Linked DNA regions of Macaca mulatta. The protein of the gene in region 2 interacts with the protein of the main gene of each other region in a biochemical or structural test. Links are inferred from orthologs where the notes say so. Each region holds a gene or a part of one and is shown on either strand. Other genes may lie near its edges.

Region 1 (7,467 bases), on a different chromosome or scaffold from region 2:
GAGGCTAGAGGTCTGGGGTATTCCTACTGCCCTGATCAGAGGCAAGGCAGCCAGTCTTCATGGAGGCCAGCTGGGTCTGCTATGTTGTCCCCTCTCTTGGGACACTCTCCTCCACCTGCTCCATGGGTCTACTGTCATCCTGGTTCCACAAAAGCCCTGTTCTTTCTCCCTGCTGTTCAGGGATGTCTGGCCTCATCTGGGCACCAATGTAAATCCTCTTTGCTTATATCCTTACACCCTGCCCATGAGGAATGTTCTCTTTGTGAATGAGGTTTGGTGTGTGCATTGGGCTGGGATCAATCACACAAATTCTATGGAGTCTGACTGATATAGAAGATACCCTGCCCCCAGTTTTCCTTCTCTATGCCCAGGGAGAAAGCAGAAGATACAGCTTGTCTTCCTACTCTTGTCTACAGATACTTGCCAAAGCAATAAATGGCAAGGGTGGCGGGGGGGGCCCGAATGCCTACAGGCTGCCTTTCAAGCAGGGGAACCAGAGGCAGGCGCTTAGAAGCAGCGGTGCAGCAGGTGGCTTAATCACTGGTCAGCGGGTAGAAGGATGGTGCATGTGGGTGATACCTGTGCCTTTGGACCCCCTCAGATCCCGGTTGAGTCTCTCTACCTCGGGATGTCCCTATGGGAGAAGCCTTGCTTCCCAAATCCCTTCAAAATGCCTAGTTTGTCAGTATCCAAGCTACTATCTAGAGCCATGTAAAGAAAATATTTTCTCCCAACACTTGTCTCTACCTGAAAAGGAATCACTACAGGATTCCTCACACGAAACTCAACAGAGCGAAAAAGGCTGTAACTGATAGGAGAAGAGAGTGTGTCGGCCAGGAGTAAAGATGCAGGGAAAACTTCTAGTTACTCACACAAGAGAGCTGAGGGCTGCTTGTCCTAGGTGGTGCTGCTGCCAGGCCGACACCTGTCCCAGCGACAACATTCCTGGCGAGTTGAAGCCTTGCAGAGCTGACAGGTCAGCGCTGGTCAGTGAATAATCTACGAAAGAAGACAAGACAGCTCTGCATGTGATGGAAGGTCCACATGGAATCTATTTTTTAGATAGCTACTGCAAACGCTCCTACACTGAGGCCAGGCATGCTGGCTCATGCCTGTAATCCCAGCACTTTGGGAGGCCGAGATGGGCGGATCACTCGAGGTCAGGAGTTTGAGACCAGCCTGGACAACATGGTGAAACCTCACATCTACTAAAAATACACAAATTATCCAGGCATGGTGGCACATGCCTGTAGTCCCAGCTACTCGGGAGGCTGAGGCAGGAGAACTGCTTGAATTTCACCCAGGAGGCAGAGGCTGCAGTGAGCCAAGATCGCACCACTGTGCTCCATCCAGCCTGCGCAATAGACTCCCTCTCAAAAAAAATAAAAAGTTCCTACATTGAGAGAAGCCAGATACTTCACAACAAAACAACATACATGTGGGTCTAAAATCCAAAATCTTTTCTTGGAAGATTTTACAGGATCTAGCCATATTTAGTTGTCTGGGATGATTCAAATAAGAGGCCATCATTAAAGAATGTTCTGTACAATTGTTATTTTAAATATGCCTGCCGCTACCCTTTGGAACAAACAGAAACAGTCAAACCCAACCAGAGTGAGTTTGAATCAGCAAGTCTTAATGAAGTAAGGGGTTGGGGGACAGGGGACAGGAAAGACAGATTCCCTTCACATGGGGTGCCAAGCTTAGTGACATCATTACACAATTAATTCACTGCATTTGTTTAAAGTACCTAGACTATCACAAACTCCTTGACAGCATGCAAAATAGTTTCAACTTCATGAAAAAACTTGGTGTCCTAGAGTATAACCCAGCTCATATCATATGAATGCTTCAGTCATAATCACTGGGACCAAGATTTAGGACGTTAGTTATCACTCACACGGGGAGTTATTTCAGCTCATCATAACACTTGTCTTTTCCATTTGGTTCTAAAGAGAGGTGGCAAAACTCTTCTACTTTTATCTTCTTTCTCATGTCTCAAGAGAGGTGTTTAAAGAAGTTGGTCTTCCTAGTGAATTAACATGTTAAAAAAGGAACTAAGTTGAAGCAACATAGCTGGTGCTCAGCGCTGTCCTGATTCTGCCCTTGTCATTCATTCTATTCTATACACTCCCATGGGCTGGGGCAAGGGCCTGCCACACTGATGCCTTCCCCAGTGCTCCCTCCAGCCCACACTCTCTTTCGACCTCTAGGTCTTTTAAACGACCTGCATGCCATGTCCATTTGGATGCCACTCCAAACGCCACAAATCTGACATGGCCTGTCCCTTCCTGCAAACCTGTTCCTCCTTAAGTACTCTGTCTTAGTACATGGCACCAACATGCACCCAGCAGCTCGTGCAGAAGCCTATGGGTGTTATCCTTGCTATTTCCCCTCCCTCTCACTCCCCCCATCAACTTCCAGATCTGAGCAATTCTATCTGCTCTCTCTCAAGCCTGCCCAAGTCTCACCATCTCTACTGCCACCACTCTAGTCTATGCTATCAACACACATTGCTTGGACCACTACAATAGCCTCTGATGTCGCTTCCTGGCATTGCCTTGTAACCCTATATATAGCAGCCAAAGAGATCTTTTCAAAATAACAAATATGATCATGGCACTCCTCTACTTAAAACTTTTTTATGGCTTCCCAATGCTCTCCAGACAGTTTCCAAAATCCTTGACATGGTCTACAAATCGCTACTTACTTCTCTAGTCTCAATTCTAACCCACGTTCTGTTCCCATTCCTTCAGCCTTGTGCCGCCTGTGAACTCCTAGCCTTTGTACAGGCACGCCCTCTCCCAAGAGCACTCTACCTCTTCTGCCTGCCTGAGTCATGCAGGTTCCTTCATGTCCAAGCTGAGATACAGCCCTTGACACAATTGCAGCAGCTTGACCCTAGTGCTATGTGTCTTGTGCCCTCCTCCTAGGCTCCACTGTTGACTCTGCACTCCTGTATTTCCAGTGCCTGGCATAGTGCTTACCACATAGTAGCTGCCTGATAAGTATTTGCTGAATAGATGTGTGAATAAGTTAAAAATAACATGGTAAACTTAAAACAGAATAAGTGTTATGAGAAAGAGAACAAAGATAAAGTCAGTCAAAAGGTGGCATGAGACTGACGCTAAGCGACTGATGATTTTGAGAGCCTGCCTCCATTTTTATACGCTTTGGTAATTCCTTTTATACTTTTAAAAAATAAATTCCCAATTCAATGGCATTTCTGAAAATAAGTATAGTGGAATTTCTAAGTATACTGAAAAACCTGTAATGAAACACTCAGTAAACCATAATCTAAGACCTAGTTCAAGCTCCCTCTTCTCAGTCAATACGCCTCTGAACATTATAGCTTTGCCGTACCTTCTCATTTCTCAGAGTATAAATTCATAAACACAACAATTCAGGACTTCCCCTCCATGGTTGCCCACTTAGGTATGTCCTGTCTCCTTGTCTAGAATAAACTTGGAGAAAGGTATGTCCCTAGCATAGTGTCTCTCATAAAGCAGGTGATCAGTGCATCGAAACAGAATTTCTATGAATCCATCATCCCTGGCTTTGCTCTGGAACCTTGTTCTGTGCAAGACACAAATAACAGGCTATGATTCACAGTCCCTAAGATAGTATGCAGTCAACAAATTTGGGCATTATTTTTCATACTAATTGTTGGAAAAGTAATGGATATTTCCTAAGAAGTTTTTTTTTTTTTTCCCCAATGAAACCTTTTATTGTTTGTTTTAAAAGAACTACTTAAAAGTGGCAATCAAATGTTCTCAACACTCTGCCCCCTCAGGTAGCTGCAGACAGCAGTTTCAAAGTACTGTGCCAAAGCATTCACCCTGAAGGCTAAAATCAGACGATCTTTACCACAGTCTACTTATGACACTTAGGAGAATCATAAAAGAATAACTTCTCTGCATTGCAGTCTCGGAGTAATTGGCAAGGTAGAATTTATTGCCTTCTTCCTCTGAAGCATCAGGTGTTTGGCTCAGTCGATGAGAAAGTGAAACCACATGTGTTTTCCACTTCTTCTTAGATTGGTAAATTTAAATGAAACCAGCTGCCCTCGATTCTCCATACAGTCTGCTTGGCTAAAAGCACTCCTACAATCACTGTAATATTCTTAAATTTTCCTAATACAACCCCAAATTAGGGCATTTTAAGATGAAATGCCTAACTAAACATAAATGAAGGCAAAACTCCCCTCAAAGGCAGAGTGACTGGCTCTGAGGAGGAACCAGAACAGTCCTTGCTTTGCCCCTCAGGAGCGCAAATGACATGGACCAAGCTAGTGGTTACAGGGAGGAAAACAGCCTGTCAGACATAGTCAAACATCGGCCACCTCCCGAAGTCTCAGGTCCAAAGGGATTCATGTCTTTCCCAAAGCACGTTAACACAGCATAAAGACAAACATCTTATTTTAAAAGTCTGGAAGACTGTGATATTGTTTAAAGAGAAACTACATCAACAATACTCAAGCAACAGGCTGCTACCCTCTTGGCTTGATGTATGCCACCACTTTGATATTATCTACATGGGCTTTTTGTCAGGGGTAATTGAAAGTTCACGATGGAGAAGCAGAAATAACTTATTCAACTCTGACACTATCAATTTTGTTTGTAATTTTTTTCAAGGCTAGCACATTTAAAAATACATCTTAATTTAAATCTAAAAAACTGGAAATAGTTTATTTCAATAAATATACTTTAAAAAAAAAATCACAAAAGCACACGTTGATCACAAAACAGAGAGAAGTACAACCTATGGAAGGCACCAAAGCAGGCTCACCAGTGTTGTAGGCAGTCGGCATTGCTGAGTACACAAGTCCCTGTGGAGGCAAGCTTGGGGTTGTCACAGACACGACTGGGGTAGCAAGAGGTTGAGTGGCTTGAGAACTACTTATCCTTTGGGTATTCTGTGAGAGATCAAAAAAGAGAAAAAGTGTTCTTATATGGTATTTATGTTGACTTAAAAATAACTTTCAATTTAAAAGTGACATTTTTCAGTTTTATATGAATGTCATTTTCTGAAGCAGTGATGATGTGAAAACTTCAAAAATACTAGTGAGAACAACTAAATATTTGATTTGAAGAGTCATATTTTTACATTAATTCTCCTCTTAAAATAGTTTATTAATGTTAGACACACCACGTTAAAATAGGAACTTATGTTACAGGCATTAGCACTTCTATTTGTTAGCACAAAATGAGGACGTGATGCCGCTACAAATACTGTCAGACTACCCTAAATATATGTAGGTTTTAAATACCTGCTGATGGCAAAGGTCATCTGTATATATAGGGATTGTACGTCTATGAGTATAGGAATCAAAACTACTTTTCTTTGCGGCATTTACATGTTAACATAGTTTGAAGTCATGGCTTATTGAGTGCAGCTTGTATTCTTATTTCTTTCTCTCCAATCATGCAGTTGACCTATTTTTTAACAACAGATTCAGATATGTATCCCTTCATGGTCCCCTGGCCTTCTGTAGGAGACGCTTTGAGTAGAGCATTTTGAATCAAGTACTGCTGACAGGGCTGTGGAAGAGCAATATTAAATGATTGCCAACTGGATGCATCTATGCAGCATCCTATCCATGCTGGGAATGGATTAAAAAAATCAACTATTAAATAATCCAGTTAGTTTAAGATAGTCATTGTCCTTAATGTGTAGGAGTATGACAGAACCAGTTTCTCACCAAACTGGCTTAAGGTAACAGTTTTCCAAAATCTAAGATCGGAGGAACACAACAGACTCTGTGTCACTAGCACACCAGAAAGTCACAGCACAACTCTATTTGTTTTTTATAAATTATGTTACAGCCTGATAACTGACATTCAGGGATCTGAGCCAAATCAGTAAAGTATAATTCAGTGCCGTTGAGATTATGAAGAGTTAGAATGTGATTCCATTTTCTCTACCACAATTTTCAAAAGAGTACATCAGACAAAGGCCTTTGGCTAGATCTAGACACTTACAAACATTCAATGAGGATCCTGATCTCAGTTTATTTCTTTTTAATTTCTGTTTTCTATCCTAGGTTAGAAGATGTGAGAAAGACCATGTGGATGTGGATGTACTGCTTGAGTTTCTGTCCCAGATTCACCACTTCCTAAGCATTGGGAAAATCATTTGACCTCTCTGAACTTCTTCACTGTCAAATAGAGAAGATACAGCAATCTTTGTCCTGGCTGCCTTCAACAGCTACTGTGAGAATCAAATGAGGTTATTATGTCAGAAGTGCTTTCATAACTGAAGTACTACACAAATGTAAGATAATATCCTTATTGTCCCAAGAAACCCTCTGTCCCAAATTTCTATATAAGTGGTGGGAAAAAAAAGATACATATTTTTATTCCTTCTAATCCATAGCCTAGTCTACTGGAGCTTTCATGAAGTCAAGTTGTTCTACTATTGCTCAGCTTCTAAAGGAATCTCCGTGGCTGGTCTTAACAGTACAGTCTTTAGTGCAGGCCCCAGGGCACCTGTCCTTCCGCACTTCGGATCAGTCATCCACAATTACATTTTAGAGCTCAAGGCAATTTGAACCACTTCTAAGTTCTAACGGACTGTGCTTCTGATTATATTTTGGTTCTGGCACACAAAGTTCTGCATTTTTAATTGATTATAGAGTCTCAGGCTTCAGTTTTAAAGAATACAAATGGCTGTTTATAAGTTTTTAGATACGTATTTTAAAGTCTTCAGGGACCTAATATATTTATCTCTGAGGTTCTGTAATTACAAATGTACTTACTCTGAGGAATGTGGAAAACCAACGTATGCCAGTTGGGAATATGTTAGTTTCAGTATCAAGTTTTTAAATTTAATGACTTTTCAAGATACAGATCTACTTTGGACTTAATTTCTTCTTTCATATTTAGTCTGGAACTTCTAAAGTCAAATCACTAGGTGAAAGAATACAGTATGACATAGTTTGGCTTGGACCCTACCTACTCCATGGCATCATCTTCATGGCAATCTTCTGGCATGCCTTTGAAAACAGTAAGACTTCAAACACTGGTTCTACTCAACTAAGCTCCTAATCTCAAAGGCACTGAGTTCTCTAAGAGTAAGTGATTTTCAGAACCACAAGAGGGCAATATAGTGCTAGATAATTCATGGAAGCATTCACAACTCCTTGAACAGTGAAGTCTAACCTAAGGTGAATTATTTTAGCTTGAATTATAAACTCTCATTTACTGATCATTATGGTATCATTAAGTAAAGTGTTTCTCCAAAAGATATTCATAATATAATTCAAAACATTTACAGCTGACTAGAATAGTTCAGTTGGCCAATACAAAACTATATCCAAAACTGTGACTGATCACAAAGCTAAATAAGGAACAATCTCGTATTTTAAGGGGAACAGACAACCTTATTTGAAAAGATCACAAACTGTGCAAAACACACCAGCATGCATAAACATGGAATATTAAAACCAACGGATGCCTTCTCCCCCAT
Region 2 (7,979 bases):
CTATAATCCCAGCACTTTGGGAGGCCAACGTGGGAGAAATGCTTGAGGCCAGGAGTTTGAGACCAGCCTGGGCAACACAGTAAGACCCTATCTCTACAAAATAAATAAATATTAATAAAATAAAATTCGGAGATATTTTTGGAAGCAGACTTCACGTCCAGTTCAAGAAGTCACACAAAAAATGCTGTGTCATTACTTTATAGTTGTAACTTCTATCTGACCTAAAACAGTAGTATCACCAACCTGATTGCCTAATCTTTGAGTCCAAATTCCCTAAATTATTTGGATTCAAATGGACTGTTATTCCCTAAAATCAAATCTGCTCTCAAAAAAATGAAGATGGATGGCCAGACACAGTGGCTCACCCCTGTAATCTCAGCACTTTGGGAGGCCAAGGTGAGCAGATCCCCTGAAGTAAGGAGTTAGAGACCAGCCTGGCCAACGTGGTGAAACCCTGTCTGTATTAAAAAATACAAAAATCAGCCGGGCATGGTGTTGCACACTTGTAATTCCAGCTACTTGGGAGCCTGAGGCAGGAGAATCGCTTGAATCCAGGAGGTGGAGGTTACAGTGAACAGAGATGGTGCCATTGCACTCCAACCTGGGCAACAGAGTAAGACTCTGTCTCAAAATTAAAAAAAAGAAGAAGAAGAGTATCATAGGCTCCAAAGTGGATTCTAAAAGAAGTTCCAAAAAATGTTTTCTGCCACACATAAAAAGGTACTCATTGAAAGAACAACTTCAGGCCGGGCACAGTGGCTCAGGCCTGTAATCCCAGCACTTTGGGAGGCCAAGGAGGGCAGATCACTCAAGGTCAGGAGTCTGAGGCCAGCCTGGCCAACATGGAGAACCCCGTCTCTACTAAAAATTAGCTGGGTATGGTGGAGGGCACCTGTAGTCCCAGCTACTCGGGAGGCTGAGGCAGGAGAATCGCTTGAACCCAGGAGGTGGAAGTTGCAGTGAGCCGAGATGGCACCACTGCACTCAAGCCTGGGCAACAGAGTGAGACTTCATCTCAAAGAAAAGAACAACTTCAAATAACTACACCGAAACTCTGAATAAGATAACACTTAATTGTAAATCTAAATTCTGGTATTTTCATTCCAATATTAGTTATAATTGTTTATTGTTAACTGTCAAATAATTTCAGTTTCAGCTGTATTTTCCTTCACCAATATGCTGTAGGTTACATCTTAAATCCCTTTAGTAGAAAGACTACTAAACAAACAAGCAAATAAAAAAACTCTGCCCCCCTGGAAAGACACAAGACACTTAACAGCGCTTGTCTTTGAGAAAGACAGTAGAGTGGCTGGAGAACAAAAAACGAGACTTTTCACTGAATACCTTTTTTTTTTTTTTTTGAGACAGAGTCTCGCTCTGTCGCCCAGGCTGGAGTGCAGTGCCGCGATCTCGGCTCACTGCAACCTCCGCCTTCCGGGTTCACATCATTCTCCTGCCTCAGCCTCCCGAGTAGCTGGGACTACAGGCACCTGCCACCACACCAGGCTAATTTTTTGTATTTTTAGTAGAGATGGGGTTTCACTGTATTAGCCAAGATGGTCTCGATCTCCGGATCTCCTGATCCACCCGCCTCGGCCTCCCAAACTACTGGGATTACAGGCTTGAGCCACCGCGCCCGGCCCACTGAATACCTTTTTAAAACTTTCAAATTTTATACAATGTGAATATATTACCTATTTTTAAAAATCTGTTCAATAAAAGTACTTTTAAGTGTCAGATACTGCTGGCTTTTTTTTTATTTTGAGACGGAGTCTCGCTCTGTCGCCAAGGCTGGAGTGCAGTGGCGCCATCTTGGCTCGCTGCAAGCTCCGCCTCCCGGGTTTACGCCATTCTCCTGCCTCAGCCTCCCGGTTAGCTGGGACTACAGGCGCCCGCCACCTCGCCCGGCTACTTTTTCGTATTTTTTAGTAGAGACGGGGTTTCACCGTGTTAACCAGGACTTTCTCGATCTCCTGACCTCGTGATCCGCCCGTCTCAGCCTCCCAAAGTGCTGGGATTACAGGCTTGAGCCACCGCGCCCGGCCTCTGCTGGCTTTTATACCACAGAAAAATATACCACTAAAGAAATGTGGAGTTAATTTTAATGGTACTTCACTGTAAATCTGGATCTCCTGTTCCAGTGCAGAGCTAGTCACCAACAGTACTGAACCTTTGCGAGGAATTCAACTGGAGTTCACCCAAACCCTCTATAGATGAGTTATTCTGCTGTTATCACTCCATTAAAATTTAAATAGCATTGAAAACAAAAACGTGATACTACAGAAATGAATGTGTCAATTCAAGAATGAAAAAATGGAAGTATATTAATGAGCTATAAAATATTAAAAGAACAATGATCCAAATACATCTTTGAAAATTAGCAAATCAACTAGATATACATAATATGTATATACTGAATGGATATACATATATTAACATGTATATATCGAATGTAAAATGCTGCAAATCAACTATACACACACACACTCTGAATGTAAAATCCTGCAAATTCCTTTAAAATGTAAACTGCCATGCTGTAAAAATGGGAGAAAGATGTCACGCACGGTGCCATCTGCAACATAACTTAAGCAGCTTGAACTAGAAAATGCAATATGATCTGTTACTGGACACAATTGCACAATCTCAATTACCCAGAAGATTCTACCAAACAGGAAATTCATGATGTGACTTTGGGAAACACAGAAATCATATTTAAAGATTAACACATCCAAAAGCCTGGAATTTGTTCCAAAACAAAAAACTATTTTACAGGCCCCTTTTCAAATGACGCATACAATACGAATTACTAAAACACAGAAAAAGCTAACAGTTAAATCTGATATTTAGTTTCAGATCCGTAGCTTTTAAATTATAGAAAATCTAAAATACAGGGTATAAAACCTTGAAAATTAGAGAGCAGTTAGTGAAATATTTCAGGTCTGGAAATTACATGGTATCGACTTAATTTAAAACACACTCACGGTGTAAATTAAAGCTAAAAAGTATCTCTTCCCTTCCTTTTCTATGTGGTTCCATATCCTTACGAAAACCATCGTGTACCTCAGGCCATAAATGCAGATAACTAGATAAATCCCTGCAAACTCTGAAAGGGACTTTTAAAACACAGTATTCGCAGGAATTATCTCAAAAAATACTTACAATACCTCCTAGCACTGTTAATAATTTTTTGATCTTGAGGGCGCCTTACAGATCTGAATCTTTCTTGCTCCAAATGAAAAAACTGTTTTGTCGAACAATACTTAAATGAGCAGTGGTATGTGACTAATCAGTGAGACTGCCAGTTTCTCAAGCTGCAGCGTTCTTGCAGGCACTACCACCGCCGCCCCTCCACAGAAAGGAAATACGCTTTCAACCGAATCGGAAACACACCACTCAAGCTGGCACAGTGTTCACCGAGATAAAGTCGGTATTTTAAGCTCTATGGATCGCTGCTAATTCAAGTGCGAATTCAAAAAGAACACTTCTCGAGATGGGATTTCGACAGAGGTTTGGGGAAAAAAAAAAAAAAAAAGGCCCGGAGAGAGCTCCCTTCCTGGTCAGTTTTGTTTAGATGACCGCAGTCTTCGGGTTGCGCTCTGCCCTTCTGCTTCTCCCGGCAGCTCCCCAAGCTTGTCTGCTCAGAGGACAGGGTCCGGCGCCACAGCGTGGGCGCATCGCGGGAGAGGGTCCTTCTGCTCCAGGTCCGGAGGGAGACCCCCAAGGAAGCAGCCCTTCCCCCGGTGCCTGCCGCCGAGCAGCAACCTTCCGAGAGGCGAAGGCGCAGGGTGCTAGCCAGAACCGAGCTCCAGCACCACCACCTACCTCTCGCAGCGGACTTGAGCGCTGCACACGGTGGACCGCAATACCCGCGTGAGTGCAGGGCGAGGGGTGCAGGAGGTGCAGAACAGGCAGAGCTCGAAGGGGCAGCAAGGCCCTCCCCCGAGGAAAATTCCTGCCACTTGACGCAACGCAGAGCAGTCGTGCAGGCCTGGCTCTCGGGCGCGAGGGGCCACCCTGCCCACAGCGGCCCCAGGCCCGGCGACACTCACCACACAGAGCCATAGGCGCCGGAGCCCACTGGAGACAGGTTCTGGTAACGCTCGGGCACCTCCCAGATTGTCTTGTTCAGCTCCTGCCGGTAGAACGTGGGCCTCTCCTGAGACATTTTCCAGCGGCAGTCGCCGGGTAAGAAGGTGGCCCTATGGGGCCCCCGCCTGCACCCGCACCCTCTCCCCGGCCCTTGCTGCCCGCCCAGCCGGGCGGGGACCTTGCGCTGGTCGCCCGCGCAGGTGCGGCTGCCGCGACCCCGCAGACTCCCGCGCGCGCGGCTGCTGTCAGCCGCCGCGGCTGGATGCGCCCCTGCGACTGGGGCAAGCCCCGCTAAGGGCAGGGACGCGCTCCGGCGCTCAAGGCTGCGCCTGCCGCGATCTCCCTGCACCTTCGTCCCTACAAGGCCGACTCCGAGCTGCGTCGCAGTACTCCGGATCCAGCTGCTGCGCCCGCTGAGGCTCCAGTGGTCGCGGTTCCACAGCCAGCAAACAGGAGCCTCCCGCAGTACTCTCGCGAGAACTGCTCCCGGGACTCTCCGAGAGCCGAGATTTTACCCAATATGGAACCTCTTCGCGGGCGGGGCTTCGTGAGAGGAGAGGATGAGAGGGGCAGTTCTCGCGAGAAGAGAGCAACAACTGGAGCCCAAAGGCAGAAACTCCCAGGAACTGTCTCCTTAAGGGCGCGAAGGCGGACCAGGGAAGGAAGAGATAAGCGGGCAGCACACGCCGCGCGCGCCCCACCGTGGCCGGCAGGGCAAATACCTGGCTCTGTGGTGGAAAACGACAGTGACAAATAGCGTGTCGGGGAAAGAGTCAAAAGATCTTTAACTGCGAGTAGTTACTAGCAGCGGAGCACCTGCTCAGCTGAACCCCCAAATTCCAAAAAACACTTGCATGAAAAAGAGATAGGTGGCAGGGCGCGGTGGCTCACGCCTGTAATCCCAGCATTTTGGGAGGCCGAAGCGGGCGGATCACCTGAGGTCGGGAGTTCGAGACCAGCCTGACCAAAATGGCGAAACCCCCGTCTCTACTAAAAATGCAAAATTAGCCGGGCGTGGTGGCGCGCACCTGGAGTCCCAGCTACTCGGGAGGCAGAGGCAGGAGAATCGCTTGAACCCGGGAGGTGGAGGTTGTGGTGAGCCGAGATCGCGCCATTGCACTCCAGCCTGGGAAACAGAAGCGAAACTCCGTCTCAAATTAAAAAAAAAAAAAAAAAAAGTGAGAGACAGGTTCTGGCCAGAAGGCTGTTGCATTCCCATCTGCTCAAGGACATATGGGTTACTCTACATGTGGGTTACTCTTCGAGATGCTGACGAAATATGTCCCAAAGGCAAATGTTAACCCTGCATCAAAGCTGAGGCTTTCCAGGGGCTGGGCGCGGTGGCTCACGCCTGTTATCCCAGCACTTTGGGAGGCCGAGGCGGTCGGATCACGAGGTCAAGAGATAGAGACCATCCTGGCCAACATGGTGAAACCCCGTCTCTACTGAAAAATACAAAAATTAGCTGGGCATGGTGGCTTGAGCCTGTAGTTCCAGCTTCTCGGGAGACTGAGGCAGGAGAATTGCTTGAATCCGGGAGGCGGAGGTTGCAGTGAGCTAAAATCGCGCCACTGCACTCCAGCCTGGCGTCAGAAGGAGACTCCGTCTCAAAAAAAAAAAAAAAAAAAAAAAAAAAAAAAAAAAAAAAAGCTGAGGCTTTCCATTCAAACTCTCCTAATAGTTCTTAAACTTACATGCAGAAAAATCACCCTGGGAGTTTAAGATGCAAGTTCCCAGGACTCACAGGGAGTCTAATTGGGTAGGTCAGAGGAAGGCATCAAGAGCATGTATTTTTATAATACATCTTAGGTAATTCTGATTCAGGAAAGTCTGATATCTCCCTTTGAGAAGCATTTAAAAAACCATTACACTGAAGATTTGAAACTGACTCCTACCCTGAAGAGCCATCAGTGAAGAGGATTTTAAGCATTCAACTCAGGCCTCTTCGAGTAAGGAGAAGAGGGCAGAAGTCTCATCGAATTTAGGCAAGTCAAATGACCTTTCCTGAACCTTAGTTCCAGCTTTTACAAGAGATTTCCTGCCCTGCATTCCCGACTAACAGAGTCATTTGTAAAAACTAAACAAGATAAATGTGAATGGGCAAGGCATTATAACCCCATGCCTACATCCATTATCAACCTACACCTATGCTAAAGCTTGTTACAATGAGCAGAAGAATCAGATCCTGCATCATTGTCTTAGTTTCTTGTATTAGAAATAACTAGGTCCAAGCCAGGACATTTCTCAACATTTCCTGTGATTATTCTATTTTGTGTCATACACACCTTGGAGGGCTCAGACTTTGCCTATCTTGTCCCAATATCTAGCACAATGTCTATAACATAAAACATGTCCCATAAGTATTTGTTATAAAAATTGTGAACAATGACCATGATTTCAATTTAAGAAGTGGTACAGGATTATCAGTCCTCCTCAAGGAAAGCAATATAAAACCAAAAAACAGAGTCATGGGTGATTCATGGAAAGCTGTTTTGGATCCAATGTAGCTTAGCTGGAATTCTCTTATCTACAAAAACATGATGCTTGAGAATGTTCCAAACTAGGGAGGCTAGGAAGCTTTCTAAGAAGTGACGGAGGGTGAAGGGGAAGTAAGAGCAAAAACATGGTTGTGAAGAAATGAGGGATGGGGTTGGGGGGATCGAGGGAATGAGGGAATGGTTACAAGGGGTGAGGAGGAAGGTTGGAAGTAGGAATCCTCAGAAATGCACATTTTTATCCTACAAATTGGGATAATGAGGTGAGGGTGAATGGAAGGGTAAAGATAAAGTAAGCAGTATATTCATACACTCATTCAACCAATGTGTATTAAATGCCTACTAGGTGCCAAGCACTTGTAGTTAAAAAGTGATTAAAAACTACAGTTGCTGCCTGCGTGGAGCTTACAGTCAATGGGAGGGCAATCATTCAACACAAATTCATTGAACACTTCCTATGTCCACCACAATGTTGTAGGCACTCATAATAAAACAGTTAATGAAAGGGATAAAAATCCCTGCCCTCATAGGGCTAAGATTATTTACAAAAAGGAATACACAAAGTGCATAATAAGGTAGACATCAACACAGTCATCAAACAAACAAGTGTAAAACTGTAACTGGGCCAAGCAGGAATACAAGGTGGAGTGAGAGACAGTGATAGGGACAGGGATAGGGTGGGAGGAGGGTAAAGGGAGTGAGTGCAGACGGCATGTCTGCATCCAGAGCCGACGATCTGGGCAGGAAGGTGTCATCCAGTGGGGAGAGCCAGGCCTGTGGGGCAGAGAGCCTATGGTTGGAGACCTGGGTAACCCTCCTAGCCTCCATTTCCTTTTACCGCTTCTGACCTGAGGAAGGCTAAGTCTTCCGGAGACGATAGTGAATTACCGTCTGTGCAGTACACATGTGCATTGCTGTATGTTCAGGGCACGAGGACTGGCACCAAATTGGCCCTCGATCAAGAATAGTAAAACCTCAGAGAGAGTAGGAGCTTCGGTACCCAGGTTTACCAAGTACCAAGGGGCTCCCACGACTCAGGTATAAGGAGGGCGACCTAGGTACCCCTTTCCCGGCTCCCTAGCCCAGCTGCTCATGCTCCCCTTCCTCGTCCCCTCCCCCACTCTCATCTTCTGCCCGCCCGGAACGTCCGCGGGCTAAGCCACAACGGCTAGGGAACCGCCGGTATCCGCGTCCGCAGCGCCGCCAGCCAGGCGGGAGCCGTGTGGGATCCCAGCGCCCGCACTCCCGCCCCCGCCAAGGAGCCAGGTGAGCCGCTGCCGGGAGACGCCCGGGCGCCGGGGGCTGCAGGCGGTGAGCGGCGAGGCCACAGCGGGTCCCATCTCGGGGGCTGCGTCTGTCACCGGCAGGTACCCAGGTATGCCGCAGAGCCAGGCA
Region 3 (7,467 bases), on a different chromosome or scaffold from region 2:
GTTAAGTGCTCCAGGAGTGGGGAAGAAGCATTCTCTAACCACTTAATTTTCTCTCCAGCTCTTGCCTAGTGGTGGAAGGAGAGGGGATAGCTCAGTATTTCTCCGGGAGATTTTCTGGGCCAGACTGAATGGTTTCACGGGCAGTATATACGCCCGACCCTCTACTGCAGGGATGCAGATCTCTCTATACACTCCGTGCGTGCGTGTGTGAGCCGCGCACTCTGTGTGGAGGTGTGGGTCCCAGCGTGTGTCTCTGTGAACACGCTTATGCGTCCCTCTCAAAATAAATGGTCTGTTGATCCTGGACGTGTCCTACCAGGTAACACCATAGCGAAGACTTTTTCAGCGCTTGGTCCAACCGGGAAACAGTTATAGCTTCTGGAATAGTACTCGCTCTTCAGAAAAAAATACTACGCAAGGGAAGGGGGTTGGCTTCTTCGCTCCCATCCAAAGGTGGGTGAGAGAAACCCGAGTCGTTGGAGATCTGCCGACGTGATGGGTGCATGCCCCCGTGTGCGCGCGTGAGTGTGGATTCCGCCTGTGACACTTTGGTTCTGTGTCAGAGAATGGTGACGGTCGTGTGTAGACGGATGAGAATGGTGACGGTCGTGTGTAGACGGATGATGATATTTTTCCAGACAGCTCTTAAAGTTCGTTTAGGTGAGCGACTCTTGGCGTGGGGTTTGGTGTCTTTGCTGTGTGCATGTCTAATAGAAGAAGAACAGTTAGCAAGCCTGGGTTGTAGAGTGTCCCTGTGCCTACAAGAGGAAGGAGCCGTCTTTTTGCAGACAATATTTGAAATCAGAGATAGATCCAGTGGGCAACAATTCACTGCCCCTTTCAGCGGGTACAGGCTAATTGGGAGGTCCTCTTTATGGAGTCGGTACTCTTGAAGGGGGGATATCTGTATGGGATTGGAACCTTATACAACGTGGCTGCCTCCCATTGAGAGAAGCTCTGGGATGCACAGTCTGTGCCAGCCAGGGAGATGAAGAGGGGAGGTGAGCTCAAGTTGTCCTTTCCAGGCAGGAATGAGGGTAGGGGTAGGTGGGAGAGCAAAGGGTGATGGATCTGCCAGGGTTGGGGTTTCCAGGTTTCCAGATCTGGCTCCATGGCTTGAGATTTCGTTTTAGGACACCAGTTAGTAGTGAAAAGGGGAAATGCAGATTAATTTATAAGAGGCCAAAAGACAACATGTGAGGTTTTAATATGACTATGTTGTGCGTTTCAAAGGACCCCAATAGGATGGAAGGCAAGAATAGCTCCAAGTTAAAGAGATTCACTTAAGGGGATTTGCAGAAAGTTGACATCCACTCTGATGTATATTTAGCTGCTGTACATTTCTGTGAACCATGCCAGTGCTCTTGGTTGCCCCTTTGCCTTTGCAGCGAGTGAGGGAATTAACTGGCAAGCATGCAAGGGTGGACAAATGGGTCTTTCTCAGATGTTTGCAGTGTACTTCTGCGCAAGAGCTGAGGTTCAGAATAGATGCCTCTTAAGAGCCTCCCTTCTGTCTTCAGCTTTTCTAATTATTTGTGCTTATACCTTTTCTACAGCTGAACTTTTATGTAGGTCCAGGAAATATTCATTAACATTTACAACTTTACATCCAAATTTAACCTTAGATTTAGCAACCAAATTGATTGGGGCCCTCAGGTTTGCATCCTCTTTGAATACATAAAAATGAGTTTCAAGTTTTGATTATGGTATGATAGAGGGCAATTAGGAAGACTGCTCAGAGGGATGCAAAGGCCTTTCCTAGGGATTGGATGAGACTGCCTTTTGTGTCACGTGACTTTATCCTTTCTTTCTCCCTTCCCGTTCTTTACAGACTGTCTTGAGTTCTTCTTGAATTGCCAGTTTTCAGCCTCCTCATGCCTCCATCTCCTTTAGACGACAGGGTAGTAGTGGCACTATCTAGGCCCGTCCGACCTCAGGATCTCAACCTTTGTTTAGACTCTAGCTACCTTGGTTCTGCCACCCCAGGCAGTAACAGCCACCCTTCTGTCATCGCCACCACCGTTGTGTCCCTCAAGGCTGCGAATCTGACGTATATGCCCTCATCCAGCGGCTCTGCCCGCTCCCTGAATTGTGGATGCAGCAGTGCCAGCTGCTGCACTGTGGCAACCTACGACAAGGACAATCAGGCCCAAACCCAAGCCATTGCTGCTGGCACCACCACCACTGCCATCGGAACCTCTACCACCTGCCCTGCTAACCAGATGGTCAACAATAATGAGAATACAGGCTCTTTAAGTCCATCAGGTGGGGTGGGCAGCCCTGTGTCAGGGACCCCCAAGCAGCTAGCCAGCATCAAAATAATCTACCCCAATGACTTGGCAAAGAAGATGACCAAATGCAACAAGAGTCACCTGCCGAGTCAGGGCCCTGTCATCATTGACTGCAGGCCCTTCATGGAGTACAACAAGAGTCACATCCAAGGAGCTGTCCACATTAACTGCGCCGATAAGATCAGCCGGCGGAGACTGCAGCAGGGCAAGATCACTGTCCTAGACTTGATTTCCTGTAGGGAAGGCAAGGACTCTTTCAAGAGGATCTTTTCCAAAGAAATTATAGTTTATGATGAGAATACCAATGAGCCAAGCCGAGTGATGCCCTCCCAGCCACTTCACATAGTCCTCGAGTCCCTGAAGAGAGAAGGCAAAGAACCTCTGGTGTTGAAAGGTAATGCCCCTGCTCCCTTCCCAAGCACAGTCCTGATTAGCCGGGTTCACTTTGGGTTTTCTCGTAGAAGTGACAGCATTCTCCTTACCCTGGCTACCAAAGACCAAAATAGACTTTATTCTTGTCTTCCCTTCTATGCTCTTTATTGTGTTGGTTTAGTAAGAAAAACCCAGCAGTACTGAACTGGAAGCCAGAAGATCTGGGTTCTACCCTTAATTCGGCTTCTAATTTGCATTGTGCAAGTCATTTCACCTCTCTGGGACTGTTTTCTCATCTTTCTAAAAAGGGGCTTTATATACACCAGATGGTATCTCAAGTCATGCCTGGTCTGCTAGCTCTATTCCAGTCAATCACTAGTTGGAAAGTTATTGTCTCTCAGACTTAACCAATGTTGATGGAACAGAGGAAGGAGCAACTATGGTGAACTACAAGTAAACCTACAGGTACCAGTTCTTTTTGTGGGAAATTCTTTCTCTTTTTCACCTTTCTGACCAGCTTGACTTTTATATGGTTTATAAAGTGACCTTGAAGAAGGGCAGAGCTTCTTATTCTAAGGTTCCATATAAGGTATAAGTTCACCAATTACATCCATTCCTCTGCCAAGGCTCCAAGGGAACAGAGACGTTTTTATGAAACACTCCCCAATCCATTGTTTTTTTCTGGCCTCACCTGACAACAGTTGGCATCATGGCTCCTACCAAGATGGAGTAGTGGGTCACTTGCCCCAGTATACTGAATGCAGAATAACTGAGATTAGTGGAACTAAGCTCCAGCAGAAGGAAGTATTCACCCAGTCTTCTTGGAGCACCGTCCATACCGTGTTGCCTAACCTTCCCAAGTAGCCTGCATCCTGTGTCCAGCCTAGTTGCACCTCTTTGCCCTCAGATACTGACTTTTGGGGCACCGTACATCACTCTCAATCGGCATCTTTTACCTGGTGGTGGTAGTGAGAGATAGTCATCTTCTTCTCTCCTTTTGTGTTGTGAGCCAAGGTACACAGTTTCTGGGTCACATCTCCAACCAGTCTCCTAAAGTGTGTTGACCAAAGGTGTTGCTGAGTTTGAACACATTGCATGTTTAAATTGCAATAGGCCATGTGGGTGAGCAAGTTAGTTATTTTGTCTCTACGGGACAGCTTTGCCATTCTCCTTCTTGTCTTCCCAGTGAGGCATTCTGCCTTTTGTTAAGCAGCGTTCTGGGAACTATAGTTCTGAATTCCATTGACACAATCTCCTTTTCCCAACCTCCACTCTCCTCAAACTTGTCCTCATGGGGCTCCCCTACCACAAAGGCACATCTGTCCTTAGAGCTGGTGGGCTTTGCTGGGAAGGAGAACATGATGGAATTGTATGTAGAGAGTTCCAGAAGCTTCTAGGCATTTCCTGGTGGTGGTGGTGGTTGTGGTGGTGGGTTTTCTTGAGGTCACAAATATGTTCAGATTTCCTCTGCGTAGCTCTGTATTTTATTGTTTCTGTATTCTTGTTTGGTTGACTTTGAGTGATTCCCAGGATATTTACCCTGCTATTGTCTTACTATAATCTTGGTGTGTCTGGCCTCTTACAAATGAGAAAATCCTACCTGGGAATTTCCCATTTGTAATAGTTTGTCTTGGGGAGCAAAGAGGAGGATAGCTAATGATCTTGATGATCTCCTCTTTGCTCATGCAGAGCAGGTGTTCACAATTAAAAGCAAGTCTTTTGTGTCTGCATGATTTGAGGAGAGGAAAAAACACGGATCAAGATGACCCTAGACCTCCTAATCATGACCCTAGACCTAGACCTAATCATGAGGATGATTAGAAGGAGTTGCAGACTCTACTCTCTATTTTGCAGCGGGTGAAGTTGTGGATAGGGGTGACCCATCAGTCACTGAAAAGTGAATCTCCTGGGTGCTACTGGTGGAAGTGGGGTGCCTCTCTCCCTTTCCTGTGGATGCAGCTGAGATTCCAGACAGCCTGGGCTTGTTCTTCAGTGTCAGAGAGTAAGATTGCCTCAATGGGGCGGGGCCGGACACACTGCTGACCTCACCACTGGGCGCCCTGGGCAGCCACTGCGAGGCCTCGTCATTTTTGAGTTGGTGAGACACCGCGTTGGTCGACTTGGAAGACGCTCTGGTGGTAGAGGTTAGATTATTTGTAGTTTTGGGGGCCTTTTCTTCAAATATCTGGGAATTTCATTGAAAATATGTAGTTCAGGAGTGAAGGGGTCTATATTCTACTTTATAATTATCATTGTCATTTTGATATCTTTTGGGAGAACGGCCTAAAATTGGGACCAAGATGGAAAAGAAGGGAAAGGAATGGGTCAGTATTAGAATGTCCTTCATAATCCTTTCAACTTGGTAAACCAGTGATTAATACCATAGCACCATTGTGGTGAAAGACGGGGTGGGCATTCCCCAAAGGCATGACCAGCAGACTTCTCCCAAATTCTTGAGTGGGTCAAGCAACAATTCTGGTCTGGCTTCTCCTCTCAGATTTATTTGAGTAATCCCCTCCCTTGGTGATAAGATTGTATTTCAGCAACAGGGGTAGTGGTACCATTTTGGAAAGAGTAATTTTTGTAGGGAAGCTGGTGGGAAGGGGGCATAGTTAGAACATAAGGAGGAAACTTCTAAGGGCCTGTTAATTTATTTTCAGAGATTTCAGTACAATCTTGGGTAATTTATGGCTGGCCCATCTGATGCTCTGGTTTATGTTTGTAAACATTGGTTGCTACCCTCCCTGTCCAAGCTCCTTGTCCCCCTGTCTCCATGCCATGCTCTCCATTTTTGGTGCTGTCTGTCAAGTAGAGCGGCTGCTAACTTGCCATTTTAGTAATGCTGTGTCAGGCTGGGAAGAAACCGATCAGAGGCATGGCAGCCCCTGGGATTAAGTTACTGTTCTAATTTACGGTGCCCTCCCTGTTGTGACCTATGTTAGAATCCATGTTTTAGTCTCATCTTCTGAAGAATAAATGGCATCAGACCTGTGCTTCCCTTCAACTTGGTGAAAATGATCCAAATGAATAAATATTTAGGGATTTGTGAGGTCTTTGAAAGAATTATATTCTGTTTTACTCAAAGCTGATTTTTAATCAACTAAAACTTGCTTTCTAGTCAAACTGAATAAGAAAGCTAAACTATTCTTAAAATTCTTTTAACAATTTTAAACAATTCTTAAAAATAAGAAAGCTAGACCATCCATAATGAGAGCTATCGTTTTTGCTATCAAGATTTTTGGGCTCCCTTTCTTTTTAGTAAAGCTGGATCCAGAGAAATAATTTGTCATTTACTTAGGTAGGAAAAAATAGTCTACTGCCCCTTTTTCTTAAAGACAATACATGCCTCCAAAAATGTTATTATAAACATTTTCAAGCATATAGAAAAGCAGAAAAGTGTGTAATGAACACCCATATACCTGTCAACCAGATTAAACAATTTTATTTTTCCTATTTGCTTTCTCTTTTCTGTTGAAATATTTAAAAATATAGATAACGTTTTAATGTATTTAAGTATGTTTAATGTTTAAACTTAATGTTTCCAATTCAAGAAAGCTAGAAATATAGTATACTAAGAACAACATTTTCACTCCTAAACACTTGAGTGTCATGTACCCATTTTTAAGTGCTTTTCAACCTAGAATCCCTCTGTGACTGATCGGCAGTCTGGTCTACAGAGGAGCTTCCATCCCTGGGAGTGGGAGGGCTCCAGGTGCCTCCTTGGGGTCTGTGTCTCCCCCTTCCTCCCCTGTTATGTCAGAGCCCATGCCTGTACTTGCTCTATGCTATTGTAAAACAAATAATGACCAACTGCTACAATCTTTATAGGACTGCTCTGTACCAAAGGCCTTTACTGGGGAATGAGAGAAGAAGAGGGAAATGGTTTAAGAGGATGATCCATGGGGTGGATTTGACCATGCAGTGAGTTAGGCCTTTATACTGTAAAATTTCACTTCTTAGAATTGAGCATCATAGATTGCACACTTTTCCCTAGTTGAAAAGGATTCTGAAATATACTCTTGTTAGCAATGTAGAGTTCTATGACAAAGTGGATGGCTAGGCTCAGAAATCAGAGACCCTGTGAAAAATATTCTGTTTCTGCCTTTTCTGGGGGATGGGGAAGGGAATAAAAGTCTCCCTTTGTCTCTCAGAGATGTTATAAGGATTCTTAAAAAGGTATCTGAAATAAAGACATATCTGCATTCACAAACGTGCTGCTGTTATTCTGTGCCTCTGGTTAACATCCAAGACTAAAATGTCAAACATTAGCTTTGTAGCAAATGATGGGGAAATCAAGGCAGAACTTTGGATCTAGTCAGTCTGAATGCTAGTCTTGGCTCCCCTCTTACTAGGTATGTGCCCTTGGGCAAGTTGCCGAATCCCTCAGTTCCTTAGTTACCTCATTAACAAAAAGAGATTATAACAATCGCTGTCTCAAAGTGTTAGTTTCTGAAATAAATGAATTAATGTGTGCAAAGTGTTCAGAACTTTACACACATACATGGTAAGCACTCCATAAATATGGTAAAATGTTGTTGATATTGATTGAAAGGAAATGATAGTGCCAGTAAAAAGGCAAATTTTGCTCCTAAGGAGTACAAACAACAAGCTAGGTATAGTAGAGTGTGTGTTGCTATGGCCTAAAAATAACTTAATGACTGTTAACTAATTTAAGTAGCATAGAGTTGGAGTGCCAAAGTAATTGCAAAAACATACTGGGCCAGGAGGCTGGAGTAATTTGGTATATCCCATAATTATTTGTTTTAGGAAAATTTGTAAAAACATAATCTGTCCAACTAAAGTC
Region 4 (8,052 bases), on a different chromosome or scaffold from region 2:
AAATTAAATTATCAGGAGATACCACTATACACTTATTAGAACAGCTAAAATTAAAAAGAAAAAAACAGTGGCAATACCAAATGCCGCCCAGGCTGGGAAGGTCCTGAATCACTCACACACCATCGGTGGGAATGCAAAATGGTGTAGCCATTCTGGAGAAGAGTTAGCAGTTTCTTACAGAATTAGACATGTGCTAACCATATGACTCAGCAATTGCACTCCTGGGCATTTATCCCAGAGAAATGAAAACTATGCTCACACAAAAACCTGTATATGAATGTTCACAGCAGCTCTGTTTGCAATAATCAAAACCTGGAAAGAATCCAAGCACCCTTCCCGGGTGAACGGTTGAACACACCATGGTTCATTCAGATGGGCGAACACCACTGAGTAATTAAAAAGAAACACCTATGGACATGCTTGCCAACCTGGATGGGTCTCAAGGGAATTGTGTTTAGCGGAAAAATTCCGTCTCGAAAGGTTGCATAGTGTATGATTCCATTTATAGAGCATTCTTTATAGAAAATGGGAACCATACTGTGGTTGCCAGCCTTAGGGAGGGGGAAGGAGGAAGTCAGCTTGGCTATAAAGGGTAGCATTAAGGATCTTGTGATGAAACTGTCCTGTCCTCTGATGTGTTGGTGGTCACATGGTTCTACACGGGTCATAAAATTACACAGAACTAAGCACGCGTGCACAACACGCACGCACACACACACACAGAGCAGTCTATAAAGCGAGTACATGTAAACTGGTGGACTCTGAAATCTGAACGAAGTTAATGGGTTGTATCAATGTTCAATTTCTAGTTGTGGCATTGTACTATGGTTTTTAAGATATTATTGTTGGGGGAAACTGGTGAAGGGAATTGCATGTGAATCTACAATGATCTCAAAACAGAGTTTTACTATATTGCTTCAGTGAATATCCACTGTGTGTGTCTTATGCACACAGACCAGGTTTTCCCTAGAGGAGACACCTAGAAGTGGAATTGTTAGATCTTAGGATACACCCATCTTCAGGTTTTCTAGATCATTCTCTAACTTCCTAATTATATTCTACTTGAACTCATGTGAGGTCTAATTTTTCTGCACTTTCTCTAATATTTGGTATAGTCACAATTTAAATTTTTCCAGTACAGTAAAGTTAAAAAAACCTTTTTGACATCTTAGTTTTGAATTCCCTGAATTCCAGAGGGTTAAAGTCCTTTTCGTATTTTATCAGTGCATCTGGGTTTTCTCTTCAGTCTCATATTTTACTCTTGAGTGGCTTGTTTCAAATTACCACATTTTAGAACTGTTTCTGTAGTCTAGATCCTGGCCTCACATAGGTCTGTGTCTCCTCATCTTTTAGACATCCACCTATTTTTCACAATGGTGACTCCGACCAATGCAGTGCTGTTCACAGAGTCCAGAACAAAAGAACATTCAGAATGACATTTTTGCGCTTTAATGGCTATTGAGTCTGAGACATTGCTAATAGCTTGGGAACATGCTTTCATGGTTGTCACTGGCACTGCGGGAGATGTTGCCGTGGAAGGCAGCTTCAGCCGGCCGGAGAGATCAGCTGCCCTTCTGGCTGGCCTGTCCCACAGACGTCCCACAAACCTGGCCAGCCCACCTCTGCATAAGCAATTCCTTGCCATGAGTAATATGTATCTCCACCTGCTTCTGTTTCTCTGGATGAAGCCTGCCCACTACAGGTTTTGACAGAGATTTAAAATCTCCTCTGGAGACTATTCCAGCGGCTCGCCTGGCATTTCTGCTCAGCTGGCATCAGGGCCTGTGGGGTGAGCACTCTTCCCTTACACAGCTCCAGCACTTCCTTCGGGGGTTCCAATGGGCCAATAGAAGTGTCTTACTACTTAATGGCCACTTATTTAAAATTATCCCAAGAGTAATTAGAGGCCAGGCACGGTGGCTCATGCCTGTAATCCTAGCACTTTGGGAGGCCGATGTGTGCGAATCACTTGAAATCAGGAGTTTGAGACCAGCTTGGCAAACATGGTGAGGCCCCATCTCTACTAAAACAAAAACAAAAACAAACAAACAAAAAACCCAAAAATGAGCCAGGCATGGTGGTGTGCCTCTGTAGTCCCAGGTACTGGGGAGGCTGAGGCAGGAGAATCTCTTGGACCCAGGAGGTGGAGGTTGCAGTGAACCGAGATTGCACCACTGCACTCCAGCCTGGGCGACAGAGCAAGACTTTATCAAAAAAAAAAAAAAAAAAAAGACAAGGAGTAATTAGAATATTTTTTCTCTTTTATTGACAACTAAGAAAGCTAAGGAGAGGATGATGAACAAAGACGGATGCCAGTGGCCTTATGGTCAAATCATTCTTGAAGGGAAACGTGTGTGGGACATCTCTGGGTACACTCACTCATTATTAGGGGTGGAATTTTAAAAGGAGGACCCAGGAACACCTTTGCAAGCCATCCTTTTCACCACGGCGGTGCAGAGCAGCAGTTAGGCACTGGTGCAGACTCCCTGGACTGAATCCTGCCCTCTTCTCATGTGCCCTTAGAATAACTTAACCTCTCTGAGCCTTGTTTCCTCATCAGTAAAAAATGAAAATATGAATAGGATGGCGACATCCAATGAGAGCATCCTAGGGCCGTCCCAACTGTTATCCGAGGTGACAAACCGCTCTCAAAAGAGAGTCTGGCAATGTGCAAGTGGTGGATAAACACTCCCTGGGGACAGAAAAGGCACAGAGGAAACTGCTAATCTTAAGCATGTCATATTTTTAAAGAACTTGGAGGAGGATTAAAAGTCAAACAAAATAACTTACAATTAACATTGACAAATTCAGGCAGAAATAGAAACACCACACGAAAGTGCGGTCTTTTTTTTTTTTTTTTTTCCAGCGTTTGGGGGCTAACTTTAATCAGTGCACACAGCTAGGACCGCCACTGACCAAACTCAAACCCCATGTCTCAAATCATGGAGGAACCGTGAGCTACCAGGTGTAAAACAAGCGACGCATCTTACGCTTTCTTATCTCTGGGCAGAATTGTGATACTTTTGGAGGATTTTCAAAGAAGATTGAACAAAATAGCTTTGTTTAACCCGGAGTTAGCAGAAGTGGTTGTTTCAGAACAGTTAACTCCCTGGGAGTTACTCCAGCATTTACAACAATTTTTAACTGGGTTCTTTCCCCTCAGATTTCACAGAAAACAAAACAAAGCCCTAAAAAACAAAAGACACACACACGCACATATACACACACACCCCTCTGCTGCGGTGCCCTTTCCCCTACAAAACCCTAAAAAACAAAAGACACACACACACACACACACACACACACACACACACACCCTCTGCCGCGGTGCCCTTTCCCCTGGCCTTCTCTACTGAAAGGCAGGTGGGTTCCTGGCTCTCGGCCGTATCCACAGCCCCAGCCCAAACGCTAAGGAGGTGTCCATCACTGGAGGTGGCCGCCAGGGAGCTCCGGGCAGGACCTTGCTCAATCCATATGGTTCCCTGACTTGAGGGTGACCGTCCTTAACCCGTCCCCCGGAGCTTCGCCAGATAAAATGTCCAAAAAACACATTGGATGTTCCCTGACGTTTCCTTCCTCTGAAAAACTCTTTCCAGGCGGGACGTTCTGTGGTCAGACCAGGCAGCGGCCTCGCCGGAACGAAGTCCACGCCCCTCCCAACCCAGCACCCAGCGAGCCTACGCGCCCCTCACCCAGGCGCAGAGAAACCGAGCACTTGTTGATTCTCATGTTGTTGCAATTGGAAAACGGAACAAGGAACCAGAACGCGCCTGTTTCCAGCCAGAGTCGCACTGGGGTCCCCAAAGACGCTTGAATCTTTTCCCAAGCCCCACTCCACCTCCCAAAACGGGGGGCTCTGGTGGACGCGAAAGGACACAAGGCGCTGCCCCCGGCACCGTGGAAAATACAGTGTGGCGGCAAATGACCGCAGGTCACACACGCCGGCCTCGGGGGCCACCGAAACCGGACGCACCCGGCCCAGGACAGGCAGTGGGGCCCGGGAGGCGGCTGCAGGGAAGACCCGGGCGGGCCGGCGGGCGGCTGCAGGCGGCGCACGTGGGCTCAGGTGGGCGCAGCGACCGGCCGGGCGGAGGAGCCCGAGACAGGCCCTGCGAAGGCGGAAGCCCGTACCCGGGCTCTCGCGGCCGCCCTTGGAGCTCAGAGGGAGACTGCGCTTCGCCCTGGGGGCAGGGTCGGGGGCGCGATCGCGCGCGGGGCCCCCGGGGTGTGATTAGCAGGCGCCGCGAGTCGGGAGGACCCTCCAGCCCGCCCTGGCCGCCAGCGCCCTCTCCGCACCCGCCCAGAGTGGCCGCTTTTGACCGCCGTCCCCTCCCACCCTAGACTCTTCCCCTCAGCCCCACAGCCCGAGGCCGAGCGGTGGCAGCGACCCTGGGACCGCCGGGCCTGGCTGGAGACCACCCCTGGGCAACTGTCAGGGTCCGGCCCCGGCGCTGTAAACCCGCGTCTACACCCGCGCCCACCCCCTCGCAGTGGGGATCGGGGCCGGCGAGGTGGGTTCGGGTCAGGGAGGACGCCGGCTGCCACCTGCCCGGCCACCTGCGCCGCTGCCCAGGTTCCCCCTGCGCGTCCCCAGCCAAGAGAGGGACCCTGAGTCCGGGCTTCGGGACAGCTCCTGTCCCAGATCTTGCGTCCCAGGCTCCCGCGGGGCTTGGGTCCGGGATCCCGCCCAGGTCTCCGCGGTCCCCACTCGGAGGGGCACAGAGACAAAGGCGGCAGAGCCGCCCGCCCGTCCCTGAGGGTCACCCACCGGCGCTGCGCTCGCTGCTCCGAGGCCGAGGGGCGCCGCGGGGTCCAAGGCCCTGCTCCCCCTGCTCGGCCCGGGCGGGCTCGTCTCGGCTTCAAGCGCCGACGCGCGGGGTCCCCGGGCAGCCTGCGCCGCCTTCCGGGGTCGGGAGACCGGGGCCGCCGGGGCTGGAGGCTGCTTCTCTCTGGCGCGCGGCGGCGGTGACTGACGGCGGCGGCTCGGAGGGACGGGCGCGCACCCCGCTCCCCGGCCCCGCCTCCCCGGGCTTCCTGCGAGCCAGGTAAACACAGGCCGATCCCGCCCGGCCCGCCCCACCCCACCTGGACGCTGCCGCCGGAGCCGCCCCGGGAGCTCGGAGGACCCGGGGCCCGCTCTGCCCACGCGGAACTCGGGGGGCGCACGGGGCCCACGCGCAGGGTCAGACCTCAGAGGGGCGGCCTGGAGCCTCGCCCGCTGCCGAACTGGGCTCCCAACTGCGGCCCGTCGACCCTTCCCGCGTGGCTTGGCCTGCGAACCCACCCCGACCCCGACCCCGACCCCGACCTCGACCTCGCGGGAGGAGTGCCAGGCCGCATCTCCCCGCGTCCTCAGGGCCTGGAAACCCCAGAAACTGCCGACGCACTTGGCGCGGCCCTGGCTCTGCAGGAGGAGTCAGCCCGGCCTGGAGGCGAAAGGAGCCTGGCAGGTCCTCCCGGGGCGCGCCCTCCCTCCCCTGGAGCCCAGGCCAGGCCCATGTCCGGCCGGCAGGTGCCCCGCTGGGAGCTGGGGGCTGGGAGCTGGGGGCGCACCTTCTCCTGCAGGACGGGCGCTGGAAGCGCGCGCGGAAAAGACAGGAAAACACGCGCAGGTGCGAGGAAGCAGCCTGGTCCCGCAGCCCGGAGACATCGTAGTCTTCGTCGCTCTCTTGTTAAAAAGAAAAAGCCTGCTGTTTAGCCGTGACTCACCTGCACGCAGATTTAGTGGTCAGAGATCTTTCCCTGGATTCTCGGCCTCCTAAAGGTGATAGAGGAGGAGGCTGGGGGAGGCCCTGAATGAGGCCCCGCGTTCCTCCTGACCTACACCCCCAGTCAGGGATCTGGATCTGGAGCTTCCGGAGGCAGCCTGGGACCCACACAGTTTGTTAGGAAGTGAGGGAGAGGGGTGAGCCCTATCCCGGCCCTCGCTGGGAGGCGGGACACCGACTTCAGCGTGGGGTCGGGGTTGCGGCCTAAAACCAGCCTCTCCCAGAGGCCGGGAGGATTTAGCAACTGTGTTCAAATGCTGGCAACTGGAAGAGAAATAGTTCCACAACGACCCAAAAGCATTCAGTCTGGTGGTTTCCTCAGGAGAGATTTTCAAGTGGAGAGGTTAGGAAGGTTCTGGGACTTTCAGGCTGAAGGTGAGGAGGGAAAAGGGTGCCAAAGATAGTGTGTTTCTCCAATTTTTCTGCCCCCCAACCTCACTTTAAGTCAAGGATGAGCGGAGTGGGTGTGGGAGGTTGGACAGCTGCCCTAGGAGCACGGGTGGTGACAACGAACCCGGGTGCACCCAGGTCCCAGCTGAAGTCACTCAAAGCTCAGACTGGGGAAGCTGGAACACTGGGTCCCGTTTTAGATACCTGTTTTAGCATCAGAAACAGCTTTTCCTCCCCAAAACATCTCTTGGCTTTATCTCAGTGACTCCACAGGGCGGGGCCACCTTCCTGCCTGCAGATGTCCCTGTATGCTGGGCTCCAGAGCGTCCCTCAGGCCACAGTGACAGCAGCAGCACGTGGCCTTCTGTTTGGTGCTCCTGCTGCTGGTGTTTCAGTGGTTTCCTGAAACACTGCATATGCCAACAGTCAGCCCTGCAAATGTCAGGCTCCACAAGTTCCAGTTAAAAGTCTTTTTACAGTATTTATAAAATTGCACTGTGCATATTTTGTTGGGATGGAGTGTCCATGCAGGTGGGCAGCCAGGCAGTTTTAAACATTCATGGATTCTTCAAAGAAAACATATAGATAATACTATTTAACAAAACAGTGGATTCACATTTGGATCAATTGGTCCTGTCTTGGGGGTTTTCATGCCCTCCTGGTTAGAAAAAGGACCCCAGGTTGAGGACAGTGGATGGAAGAAACAGGCCGGCATTTCACTGCTGAGAGACAAACTTTCACATGAAGATGTCCATGTAGCCCTCGGCAAAGTGACAGAGATTCACTGTGCTGAATAAAATTGAAAGGCATCTTTTGACAAGTAACCCATCAAAGCCTCATTGTGTCTTTGACATTTCTAAGAAAGTCACATTGCAGTTACCCCCATCTTTCACAAGGTACCAGAGAGCAGAAAGTTAGATCTATCCGGCATCTCATATGGCAGCAAATAGCAAAATGTTTTGTGCATGAAATAAACTCAATAAATTTTTTGTTAAGTTGAATTAAACTCCAAATTACCCAAGCTAAAGGAAGTAAATGAATCTAAATAGTTTCCGACAGAACTCAGACTGCACGAACTTTGAGTTTTCTTTAGTTTCTTCATCAACAGATTTGTCTTTGTTATGATGTTTTGCTTAGGAAAGGACTGAACTTTTTTTTTTTTTTTTTTTTTTTTCCAGATGGAGTCTCATTCTGTGGCCCAGGCTGGAGTGCAATGGCGCAATGTCGGCTCACTGCAACCTCCGCCTCCCAGGTTCAAGCGATTCTCATGCCTCAGCCTCCCGAGTAGCTGGGATTATAGGCAACTGCTACCACGCCCAGCTAATTTTTGTATTTTTAATAGAGATGGGGTTTCACCATGTTGGCCAGGCTGTTTTGGAACTGCTGACCTCAGATGGTCCACCTGCCTCGGCATCCCAAAGTGCTGGGATTACAGGCCTGAGCCACCACACCCAGCCAGGACTGAACGTGATTTTCAGACCTGGTCTACACCTCTCTGAGCCTCATTCCCTTCATCGGTAGTGTGGAGGTAATAGTCATCCTCACATCAGGGCTGAACGCTGTCTTTCTGCAGCTCAGGCATCGGTGGATACCCAGGTATTGAGGTCTCCCTCATTCACCCAGGGGTTGATCACAGTTGTTTCCAAACAAGTTGTACTTCAGAGGAATTCTGTGCTGGCTATTGAGACTGAGACGTTACTTCTGTTCACTCTGTTGCAATATATATTCACAACCTAGCCAGGGGGGCTTTCTTCCCACTTGAGGGTGTATTAGTCAGCTCAGCTGCCATAACAAAATACCACAGACTGGGTGGCTTAAAAACAGATATTATTCCAGCTCTGGAGTCTGGAAGTCCAAGATGAAGGTGCTGGCAGACTTGGCGTTGGGCGAGGGC

The links.
Region 1: of the proteins of MAPK14 (region 2) and MEF2A, one has a biochemical effect on the other in vitro, tested with the Homo sapiens proteins (2 studies listed by BioGRID). The link is inferred for Macaca mulatta from reciprocal best matches to the Homo sapiens genes MAPK14 and MEF2A.
Region 3: the proteins of MAPK14 (region 2) and DUSP10 form a complex in vitro, tested with the Homo sapiens proteins (2 studies listed by BioGRID, with this or other methods). The link is inferred for Macaca mulatta from reciprocal best matches to the Homo sapiens genes MAPK14 and DUSP10.
Region 4: of the proteins of MAPK14 (region 2) and MBP, one has a biochemical effect on the other in vitro, tested with the Homo sapiens proteins (4 studies listed by BioGRID). The link is inferred for Macaca mulatta from reciprocal best matches to the Homo sapiens genes MAPK14 and MBP.

Annotation. Positions count from the first base shown.
Region 1 is NC_133412.1:89,975,505-89,982,971, reverse strand, and holds part of MEF2A (myocyte-specific enhancer factor 2A), read right to left. Parts: intron 4,916-7,467; coding exon 4,789-4,915; intron 1,000-4,788; coding exon 873-999; intron 1-872. UniProt on the Homo sapiens protein: Transcriptional activator which binds specifically to the MEF2 element, 5'-YTA[AT](4)TAR-3', found in numerous muscle-specific genes. Also involved in the activation of numerous growth factor- and stress-induced genes.
Region 2 is NC_133409.1:146,224,945-146,232,923, forward strand, and holds the start of MAPK14 (mitogen-activated protein kinase 14), read right to left. Parts: upstream 4,516-7,979; 5' UTR 4,166-4,515; coding exon 4,050-4,165; exon of another isoform or gene 3,823-4,049; intron 1,026-3,822; exon of another isoform or gene 602-1,025; intron 1-601. UniProt on the Homo sapiens protein: Serine/threonine kinase which acts as an essential component of the MAP kinase signal transduction pathway.
Region 3 is NC_133406.1:79,620,163-79,627,629, reverse strand, and holds part of DUSP10 (dual specificity protein phosphatase 10), read left to right. Parts: intron 1-1,831; 5' UTR 1,832-1,874; coding exon 1,875-2,685; intron 2,686-7,467. UniProt on the Homo sapiens protein: Protein phosphatase involved in the inactivation of MAP kinases. Has a specificity for the MAPK11/MAPK12/MAPK13/MAPK14 subfamily. It preferably dephosphorylates p38.
Region 4 is NC_133423.1:3,678,296-3,686,347, reverse strand, and holds the start of MBP (myelin basic protein), read right to left. Parts: upstream 4,972-8,052; 5' UTR 4,769-4,971; intron 1-4,768. UniProt on the Homo sapiens protein: The classic group of MBP isoforms (isoform 4-isoform 14) are with PLP the most abundant protein components of the myelin membrane in the CNS. They have a role in both its formation and stabilization.